Linked DNA regions of Mytilus edulis. The protein of the gene in region 1 purifies or fractionates together with the protein of each later gene. This does not show direct contact. Links are inferred from orthologs where the notes say so. Each region holds a gene or a part of one and is shown on either strand. Other genes may lie near its edges.

Evidence for each region. Proteins that work in one complex are often made in the same cells at the same time.
Region 2: the proteins of U2 small nuclear ribonucleoprotein A'-like (region 1) and PHD finger-like domain-containing protein 5A purify together in Homo sapiens (affinity purification with mass spectrometry; 4 studies listed by BioGRID and IntAct, with this or other methods). This does not show direct contact. The link is inferred for Mytilus edulis from reciprocal best matches to the Homo sapiens genes SNRPA1 and PHF5A.
Region 3: the proteins of U2 small nuclear ribonucleoprotein A'-like (region 1) and splicing factor 45-like purify together in Homo sapiens (affinity purification with mass spectrometry; 5 studies listed by BioGRID and IntAct, with this or other methods). This does not show direct contact. The link is inferred for Mytilus edulis from reciprocal best matches to the Homo sapiens genes SNRPA1 and RBM17.

Annotation. Positions count from the first base shown.
Region 1 is NC_092344.1:117,060,444-117,064,203, reverse strand, and holds the start of U2 small nuclear ribonucleoprotein A'-like, read left to right. Parts: upstream 1-1,472; 5' UTR 1,473-1,553; coding exon 1,554-1,635; intron 1,636-3,760. UniProt on the Homo sapiens protein: Involved in pre-mRNA splicing as component of the spliceosome. Associated with sn-RNP U2, where it contributes to the binding of stem loop IV of U2 snRNA.
Region 2 is NC_092352.1:52,171,314-52,175,073, forward strand, and holds the start of PHD finger-like domain-containing protein 5A, read left to right. Parts: upstream 1-1,600; 5' UTR 1,601-1,658; coding exon 1,659-1,710; intron 1,711-3,760. Other genes in the region: probable ATP-dependent RNA helicase DDX47, read right to left, coding at 1,282-1,362.
Region 3 is NC_092344.1:3,347,502-3,351,261, reverse strand, and holds the start of splicing factor 45-like, read right to left. Parts: upstream 2,323-3,760; 5' UTR 2,308-2,322; coding exon 2,209-2,307; intron 1-2,208. UniProt on the Homo sapiens protein: Splice factor that binds to the single-stranded 3'AG at the exon/intron border and promotes its utilization in the second catalytic step. Involved in the regulation of alternative splicing and the utilization of cryptic splice sites.

The DNA of each region.
Region 1 (3,760 bases):
GATATCTTATAAACTATATAAGATATCTTATAAACTATATAAGATATCTTATAAACTATATAAGATATCTTATAAACTATTTAAGATATCTTATAAACTATATAAGATATCTTATAAACTATACAAGATATCTTATAAACTTTAGGATATATCTTATAAACTTTAGGATATATCTTATAAACCTTAGGAGATATCTTATAAACTAAATAAGATATCTCCTATAATATATAAGATATCTTATATCATTTCATTTCTATGAGATATCTTATATATTATATGAAATATCTTAAATATTATATTACACTAAATAGGCCAAGTTAACATTAAATAACAAAAAAAATCATTACAAATTATCTCAACAGGTCAAAATAACACGAAAGTACGATTCGAGAGTATTCGCAGTTACGGAAAGCTAAAACAGTTACTGAACACCAAAACAAATTAATGATAAAAAAATCATGCACCAGGAAGTAAAATCAACTAAAACACATCCCAGAGATTTAGTAATTTAAGGTTTATGACCCCTTCTGTTGCCATGTGAACAACAAGCATCATTATTTATTGTCCATTGCATTTATTGAATAGAAAAATAGGATTTTGTGATAAATAAAACCAAGATTTTAATAATACAAAGATTTTTCGTATGAAATTTTAAGCATAGATCACTCACTTGTGTTTCTATGATTTACTAGCGTTTATTGTTTATAGAAAAGTCATAAATAAACCTGATTATTAAAAAAAAAAATTGTGCTGATTCACATGTTAAACTTGAGTCGAGCGCACCATATATAACATTCATATACATGTACTTGTTTTAAGGAAATCATTGCTAGCACTGCATGCAATAATCCTCTATCTATCAAGCACCGAATTGCCAAAATTAAGAGTACGAGGAGGGAAGGCTGTCACGGGATTTTCTTATAAATTCTCATATGTTTCGTTTAACATTGATACAACACAAGGGTACATAATCCTTAACGTCATTATGAGTGGCCGTTCATGTCATTTGCGTGATAATATACGCGTATATAATCGCGCAAATGACACGAACGGCCACTCATACGCCGTCACGGTCATGAACAGACTGATAATGAAAAATGTCTAATGTGAAATATAGATAGAGTAATCTCGATATAAAAAATGAACGTCAGTGGATGTGTATTTATGACATTTATACATCACAAAAAAACGTTTGAAAAGAATACTTTTTACTAGTTTATTTAATGAATTTGAGCCTCGGTTGTTAAAGTATGTTTAGATTTTGAAGCACTATGACATATTAAAATTTAACCTCTTATGGGGGATTTTCTTGAGTCACAAATCTGTGAATTTTACCACATTTGAAACAGAGACTTTTTATACTAATTTAAAGAAAGTTAGTATAGGAAGGCTCTGCTTGAATCTACGAAAAACTCAGTTCCAGTTTCCGGATACTATACATGGCTGATCGCATTAGTTTTTCAAATTAAACTACTTCCACAATCGCATGCGCACATGAACAGACGCATGGCGTACTAAATCTAAATAAAACTAAATAAAAAGACTAAAACACCATGGTTAAGTTAACAGCTGAATTGATTGAACAATCTGCACAATATACAAACCCAGTTCGAGATAGAGAACTTGATCTCAGAGGTAAACTGACTGTCTCGAATCGTAAAAGATCACAATGACAGAGTTTGTCAAAAACACAACAAAATAATATAATTTTTCATAACTTAAACTTGGCTAATCAGTATTTTGTTAAGGCAGTTTAGTTTTTGCGAATGTATCTTTTTGAAACGTAGATTCATGCAAAATTGGTCGGAGTAGATTCTTCTGGTTTTGATATATTTCTTGTGTAAACAATGATAGGAGTTTGAAATCCTATCAATAAGGGGGTAAAAATATACCAAAGTCGACTATCACAGTAGAGCTTCTCTCGAAAATATACTGTGATAGTCGACTTTGGTATATTTTTACCCCCTTATTGATAGGATTTCAAACTCCTGTGAAACAATATACATACTCCACACCAAAAATATCGTCTCATAACTAAATCGTCTCACTTTTTCATCAAATCGCCACACTTTTAAAAATTATCTCCCCACTTAAAATGGACACACACTGGCCTACAAACTCTCCCAACTTATATAAAAAGGATTAAATCCTGTTAAATATAATCCTGGAGAATATATATATGTTTAAATTTTTTGCGCCTGTCCCAAGTCAGGAGCCTCTGGCCTTTGTTAGTCTTGTATTATTTTAATTTTAGTTTCTTGTGTACAATTTGGAAATTAGTATGGCGTTCATTATCACTGAACTAGTATATATTTGTTTAGGGGCCAGTTGAAGGACGCCTCCGGGTGCATGAATTTCTCGCTACATTGAAGACCTGTTGGTGACCTTCTGCTGTTGTTTTTTTCTATGGTCGGGTTGTTGTCTCTTTGGCACATTCCCCATTTCCATTCTCAATTTTATTAAAGGTCAGCCAACTCACCCCACTGATGAAAACTTATCTATGGTATGCCATAGTACTGAATCTTACTGCTGAATCTTTCTTTGTCCTTTAGGACAACCTCTTGGTAGAGTACAATATTAATATAACCCTCCACTATCCAGAATTATCAATATCATACAAATATGTATAATTTATATACAAGTCCGCACTGGGTGATTTAGTTGTGTGGTCTTGTTTCTAGTCCTGATATTTCATTTAGTATTTTGTTTTGTGTTATCATGCCACTGCTTGTGTTATTGACTTATTGTGCAAAGTTTGCACTGCAAACCTATCATAACAAAATAAAATTATGTGAACATATGTGAACAATGATTATCCACTTATTCTGTAAAACAGTGATTATATTATAAACCAGGAAAAAACCCCATCATAAACAGTTACAATAGTCAATTACATCGTCCTTCACAGAAACACTAATTCATCTTTCTGCTTTCTTTCAACCAAAAGAAAAGAGTTTAAAAAAACTAAGATGCATTTCTAAGGTATTCATAACCATTTTATTAAATTTAACAGTTGGGCGTGTTGGCAAACCTATAATGCTATGAGAATGAGTTCTTTTTCATGAATGTAAGAACAGTCTTTACTAGCGTAGTAGACTGTCCTTATAAGTCGGACAAGATGGCATGAATAAATAAATCATGGTTTTTCTATTTTTAATAACTGGGTAGAACAGCAGACCTTTTTTTCAGCGTGATTTGTTAACCTTTCCTCCATTGAATTTTTTTGTTTGCATACCTGATTCGCATAAGGATTTCTCAATAAAATGCTAAAAATATGCTTTAAAGTATTAATGCATTGCGAAAAAACAAATAATTCATCAAATAAATTAAAGTCGGATATTCCTACGATATTCCTTTTCATATTGGATACAAATTTTATTAAGTCTACTGCAGACACTTTGTAGTCAAAGCGTTTCAACTGAGGTACTACACAGGCATCAAAAGGCGTCATTATGGAGTAAAGGGGGTGGCGTCAAAATGATGATTTATTTATCACTTTTTAATTTATCAACATAGTTTCTGACCAGTGGAAATGTTACATTAGAGGACAATGACCCAACATACATGTACTCTTCTCTTTTAAGTCTCACATCTTTTGCCTATCAGTTTCTTAGAATTCTATGAGAATGCATTCTTTTTCATGAATGTAAGAACAGTCTTTACTAGCGTAGTAGACTGTCTTTAATAAGTGGGACAACATGGCATGAATAAATAAATCATGGTTTTTCTATTTTTATGCCCCACCTACGATAGTAGAGGG
Region 2 (3,760 bases), on another chromosome or scaffold:
ATGTCATGTTTTGAATTCCTGCATCTGCGCAGGAATCTACAATATACTTCCTTTATCAGTCATGGGACTTACTTAAATAAGTGATTTTCTAAATCACTGATTCAAGTAAGATTATTTCCATAAAGGTTGGAAGTTAGAGTTGTCTTTCTTTAATAATCATCTATTTAAGTAGTACATTTTGTACACGTACAAATAAATCACTAGAAGAAGTGATTTAATTTTATTATAGCTTTAAATATAGAATACTAATGATCCAGGGACTAATTATGTTTCTTAACTTATCAGAACCAACATCTGTGTTGTCTAGGATGACCAGGTCATTTCAGGTGATGACCTTGTACTGAATCTTGGATAATGACATAAAAATCACTTGTTTAAGTATCAGACCTCAATTTCCTTCCCAAAAATCACTTCTTTAAGTATCATTCTTTTAATAACCCCCACTAATTTCAACACCCCCGAACAGTGAAATTTTTAATTGCGAACAGTAGAATTTTATGACATAATCTGAAAGATTAAACCTTGAACTTCACAGGAAAAATACCCCCACTGCTGGGAAAAATCTTTTAAGAAAGTCTCAGTTCGTTATGTAAAGCCATTATTATAGCATTTTTTCAACTAAAATTGAATTTACGGCTAAATGATAGCATCAAAGTCATGAACCTTGCTATTTAAAAGAAGCAAAAAGTTCATTTTTTTATAATTTTACTAATTAAAAGATATTATTTAAACCTATGTGTTTAAAATTTTGAAAAAACTACAAAATCCCAATTTGTGACAAAACCTCAAATTTGATACTCAAATAAGTGATTTAAAAATCACTTATTTCAGTAAGTACCCTGACTGTTTGTATGAAACTTTGAGTAAAATATATATTTATCAGTCTAGTATAAAATAGGAAGAAACGCAATACCAATTTCATTTTCAATAATTCCTTGATATGAAAAAACGTTACTTGATGATAGCGTTTCTTTGTTTACATTGCATATGATGTCATAACTTAAATAACGTCAAAACTAAAATCCCTAACAACAGAACCAAAATCAGAAATGTTACGGTATTTCCGTTTCTTTTTTTTTAACAAATATTTAAGTTACAAAAAAAAATTCATACAGGCTTCGTCCCCATTTGCATGTAATGCCTGCCTTATATTAGTGTCAAGTAAACACTCACTTAAGTTAGTTAAGACTAAAGAACAAACATGAAAAAGGAGAAGAAAAGAACAAGGAACGTTTTAACCTGATGTGTGTATAATGATTTCGATATTTTTTGGCCATTTACCAGTGATTTAAATGTTATTTCTTCTTCTTCTGTATCATTTTCTGGAACCACGTTGTTTTCACAAATTGCTTCGGATGCCATTTTCAATGTAATTATAGAGCTATTATCTTAATGTTTAATTTTCGGTCTTTTAAACGTTTCGATCACCTAGAAGAATTTCATATTTAAATAATATTCTTTCAAAACGAACTTAAATCATTTACATTTATTTTCTCTTTTAAAATAATGTAATTATAATCATAATTTATAACATATATTAGAAAAAATATAAAACAGAGATTTATTGGTTTAACTGTTATATTGACACTGCATAGACTGCATTATATAAAAATTCGTTTTTGCTTAAAATTTGCAAAACTGTAGAACGTTTCTAGACGATGGCAAAACATCACCCAGATTTGATTTTCTGTAGAAAACAGCCAGGGGTTGGTCAGTATTACCTGCTTGTTATTCAGGTTGGGGATGGGGATTATCGTTTGTAATGCAGTATTATCCTGAATGAGGATGAACTGATGAAAATAGTCAATTCGGCAACTGGGGTGATATGCAAACCACTCAAAATAAAAGACAGGACAGGGATTACAACTAAAAAAAAAAGCAGGACAAAAATTTTCATCCTAGCCCCCCCCCCCCCCCCCCCCCCCAAATGTAGATATATTTTTTAATTTTTGGAAAAATATGTTAAGCACAGTTGCCACCTAATAGTATGTATTTTAAAGTACAAGTGAGTTGTTTACCAGAGTGAAATATAAATACACGCGAGATTTAAATAATTACAAGGGAGACAATCCAGTGTCAACAGCGACACCTACAGAATACAGAATCACTTTCTATATGATGTATAGCACAAATTCTTATCAATTAATACTTATTTCTTGTCAAAATTTTAAATGCGCATCCAAAAGTGGCAAAACAATCAACTTAGGCCTAAAATAAAATATTGTTTGTTTCCCCAATCCCGACAGACCCTGAAAAAACGGTGCTACTCATAAAATTTTATTGTCACAGCTAAGTCAAATATTATTTTATTCATTTCCAATTTTTCATGTTTGCCGGATTGATAGTCCAAATAATTATGACGTCTTGAAAGGCTATTATAATTTTTTTCTTTGACGCCTTACTTCGACGTCATAATGCTGAAGCCGCCATTTTCGGTTGGACTTTGAGAGCATATTTTGCTCTCAACTTTGAGACCCAATTTAGCCATCAAATTTTCAAAGAAGGCTAAAACAAAATGCATATATAAAAATTCTTACCTTTTATGTGTTTGTTTTACGAAAATATTTCCAATTAATCCCTACAGAAATAATAATATAAGTAACAATTCCATCCGAGGCGGGAACATGTCGACTGCATTTTTTAAAACGTTTGTCGGATTTCTTTTTAGGAGATTATAAAATAATTTTTACACCAAACTCGGTAAAACCCGAATTTCCGGAACCATTGTTTTACATTATCCGGAAATTCAGGTTGGTCAAAATGTACCGAGTTTGGTTCAAAAATATATTTTGTACACCTTAAATGAAGCATCTTGAGGAGAAATCAGCTAAACGTTTTTATAAAGCAGTAAATTCCCTATCAAAGTCCAACTGAATATATGAGTTTGGCGTTATGACGTCGAAGTAAGGCGTCAAAGAAAAAAATTATAATAGCCTTTCAAGACGTCATAATTATTTGGACTACCGGATTGACAGTTATTGTTACAGCTTTTTGGAAAAAATAAAAATATTTCCCTACCTACCTACATGCCTACCCACACCTGGCTTGGGGAAACAAACAATTTATTAATTTAGGCCTTATTGATGGTGGCTGCGTATTGGTAGAACTTGAAGTAGAAGTAGAATAGGGGGTCTCATTGGGGGGTTCCGATCCCGTATCCCGCTTACTGTTTTGTCAGATTCCTGTATCCCGCTTACACAATGTACATAAGCAATTTTATTTTTTTTGTCATTTCCTGTGTCCCGCTAGACCTCATTTCCCGTTTTCCCGACAATAATTTGACTTTCATGTGTCACGCTTACATAAAATCGGCAATCCCACGTCACTCTAGACCCCAATGAGACCCACAGAATAAGATTAAGATATCCAATCGTAGTTCTATTTTTAAAAAAAACTTTGGCTCTATCTGTTAGAGCGCTGTCTTAAGATCCCAAGATGTGAGGGTTCAAATTTCACTGGAACAATCCATAGACTTTCACAATAAAACTATGACATTTAAATTAAAACAAAAAAACAAAACATGCCTATCATGTGGGTCTCATAGGGTTCTAAGCTTGACACTGGATTTTTTTTGTAACCATGTTGCGTTAAAGTTAAATTATGTTGCCGTGAAAAAACAGGAAATTACGAAAAAAAAAGAATTGCTGACATGCATAGTCTAAGCGGGATAAGAGAATCTGACAAAACAATAAGCGGGATCCGGGATCAGAACCCCCTATTGAGACTGCCTATTATTTAAAACAACCAGTAAACATGAGAA
Region 3 (3,760 bases), about 110 Mb from region 1:
TTGAAGCTAAATGGTCGTTCCTTGATCACTATGATTTGTCTTTATGAAGAGAGACTGCTCTGCTGATGACGTTTCTTTTTTTTTAGTAGAATTTGTTCCCATAGATCTTCTTTTACCAAAACTTGCAAGGTATTCAGTTTCTTTATATGCATATATATGGTCATGGTATTTCTTTGATAGTTATACCAGATAGGTGGCATGCTAAAATCTGTTTCTGTGAAATTAGAACGCATGTCAACAATTATTCTACCAAGGGGTGTCTGGATTGGGGAGGGGGGTTGTACCTGTATTCTTTCAAATGTTTGCCATTTTCTCTATTCTTTATACTTTTTGCCCATTATTTTAGGACCTCATTTTTCTCTATTTTTTAAATCCCCCCTCCCCCATTTTTCTCTTTTCTGTAAATCCACATCCACATCCTCATAAACCTCTACTCATGAAGTATATTTTCTATTGCGGCAGTTATTAATCTTTATCGGACTTATGGGGTGTTGGACCAGTGGGGTGTCGGAATACCTGGCTGACGTCCGTTGACCCCCATAAATCCAATAATTGTTTATGTTATTATGAACACCATCACATGTCAATATCATATATTTATTTGAAGTTTATACCCAAGATTCACAAAAGTGTCGGATACTTTCTTTTTCATCTATATTACAGTTTTCAGATGGAAAAAAAATGTTAAATATGAATTATTGGTTATAAATATTAGGGACAATCTACACTATGCCATATTTAATTAAAAAAAATCTACATTAGTTTACTGTGTAATATATAAAAATCACCACGTAGTTTCTCGTATGTCCTACGAATAACAATGTATGATATTGTGCATGCACTGTTCTGTTATTTGTGTTTCCTATCTGTAATAATCATTAAAATGTTAACTTGGCGTGCCATACTTGATAGAAATGCGGACGTGAAAGAAAGCACTCTTTATCAAAACGTCAACGGAGATTACATTCTTCATTTATACAACCTATTTCAGGGAAAATGTGTATTAATTTTCAATGTTGACACCAATATTGATCTGCTGGATGTAGATTTTACGAAGAAAACCTAAAACACATTTGGTCCTATTTGTTATTTCATAGCAAAGACTCAGTCTGGTTTAATCATTGACGGTATAATATTGTTATCGTACGATGCACAGTCCTGTGTATCCGCGCATTTCATGAATTTTGGCTCCACTGTGAAAAACGTATGAAAACTTATAACTGTAAATCTTCCTCTAAATTTATGATTTTACTCACAATATTATGTGCAACGTGTTTCCGAAATTTGACCGGGACTTTATACGATCTTTTTCTAAGAAATACAGTTCAGTTTGAACCTTGGAGCGGACTTCCAAGGATGCGGGCAAAAGTTTTTTTGTCATCAGTTCAATGATATTTGCCGTATTTAAAATAAAACCATTTTCCCCTAATAGATTCATGAGGAGGGCAGGACCTTTTTTGATCCGGTTCTACTTTCAAATTTCGGAATATCAGGATTTAAATTTCTTTAAATTCGGGACCTCGGGATAACATACTTTTAAGACCTTGATTTCGGGACCAGGCCCCCTCTGATTCCCCTCCCCGTCACCACCCCATTCATATCTCATTTATGCTTCAAGAACTTCTCAATTTTTATCTTTTCTTTCTCTTATTATTTTAATGATAACCAAAACAATTCTTTTTGTTGCGAAATCATACAATGTGGGATATCACCGGCTGTGCGAAGCTCTCAGTCTGACAAATCATCGAGTTGAAAAGCCTGTCACGGTACTTTTTCGGCTGATTTTGGGTTACAGGTAATCCAAGCACTTGCATGGCATCAATTTTAGATGTACAATTAAGGTTTTAATAGCGCTCCTTCGTTCAATTAAATTTAATAGTGAGTTAATAGACTATTAACGCTAATTAAAATTTGTGCAACACAAATAATAGACTATTAAATGTAAGTGTACTTTTAATAGACTATTAACTTTAATAGACGTTTGTGCAACCCAGTCCAGATTAGTGTTATAATTTTATATTTCTTATTTTATCTGATAAATAAAAATAATGTTGTAACTTAACGCCCAAAATATGAAGGGTAAATATAGTGTTATGAACTTAACTTTTAGGTATGATTTTGAAAAAAAATCTATTATGGTTTCAGATAATTATATGTTAATTAAAAAAAATCGTTTAAGTTATCATAATATAAAAAAAAAACTGGTACCATCTTCTTCATTGTTACAACACTGGATGGTAGAATATAGCCTTTTGTCCTCTTCTGCACTGTTACAACACTGGAGGGCAGGATATTGCAATTTATCATCTTCTGCACTGTTACAGCACTGGAAGGCAGGATATATATAGCCTTTTATCATCTTCTGCACTGTTACAACACTGGATGATTATCATCTTCTGCACATTGTTACAATTTACACTGGAGGGCAGGATATAGCCTTTCATCATCTTCTGCACTGTTACAACACTGGATGTTTATCATCTTCTGCACATTGTTACAATTTACACTGGAAGGCAGGATATAGCCTTTTATCATCTTCTGCACTGTTACAACACTGGATGATTATCATCTTCTGCACATTGTTACAATTTACACTGGAAGGCAGGATATAGCCTTTCATCATCTTCTGCACTGTTACAAAACTGAAGGTAAGAGATAGCCTGGTACCAATTTCTGCACATTGTTATATACAACACTGAACTAAGTGGGACAGTCTGATAAGCTTCTTCACTGTTATAATACTAAAGGACATACAGGGAAGCCTGGTTTCAGCTTTTCCACTATCGAAACACTGAATGGTTTGAGATTGTCTGGTAACAGCTTCTTCAATATTTCAACATTTTAGGACCAGAGAAGAACTGGTACCAGCTTTTCCACTGATAACACACTGAAGGGCATGATAGATCCGGGTTTCCGCTTCTCCACTGAAGGGAACGAAATTCTTTCCTATCAGCTGCCCCACAACACAAAGAACGCAGGACATGACATTAGGTTCTTCAAGCTTCTCCACGACACAAAGACTACAGGACATAATATAAGTCCTATCAGCTTCTCTATGACACAAAGACTGAAGGACATGTGATTAGGTCCTACTAGCTTCTCCACAACACAAAGACTGCAGAAAATGCATTTAGGTCTTATCAGCTTCTCCACAACACAAAGACTGCAGGACATACATTTAGGTCTTATCAGCTTCTCCACAACACAAAGACTGAAGGACATAGGATGAGGTCTTATCAGCTTCTCCACGACACAAAAACTACAGAACATAATATTAGGTTCTATCAGCTTCTCTATGACAAAAAGACTGAAGGACATGTGATTAGGTCCTACTAGCTTCTCCACAACACAAAGACTACAGGACATGCATTTAGGTCTTATCAGCTTCTCCACAACACAAAGACTGAAGGACATGAGATGAGGTCTTATCAGCTTCTCCACAACACAAAGACTGCAGGACATGAGATAAGGTCTTATCAGCTTCTCCACAACACAAAGACTGAAGGACATGAGATGAGGTCTTATCAGCTTCTCCACAACACAAAGACTACAGGACATGAGATGATTAGGTCTTATCAGCTGCTCCACAAGACAAAGACTACAGAACATGAGATAAGGTTTTATCAGCTTCTCCACAACACAAAGACTGAAGGACATGAGATGAGGTCTTATCAGCTTCTCCACAACACAAAGACTGCAGGACATGAGATGATTAGGTCTTATCAGCTGCTCCACACGACAGAGACTACGGGACATGAGA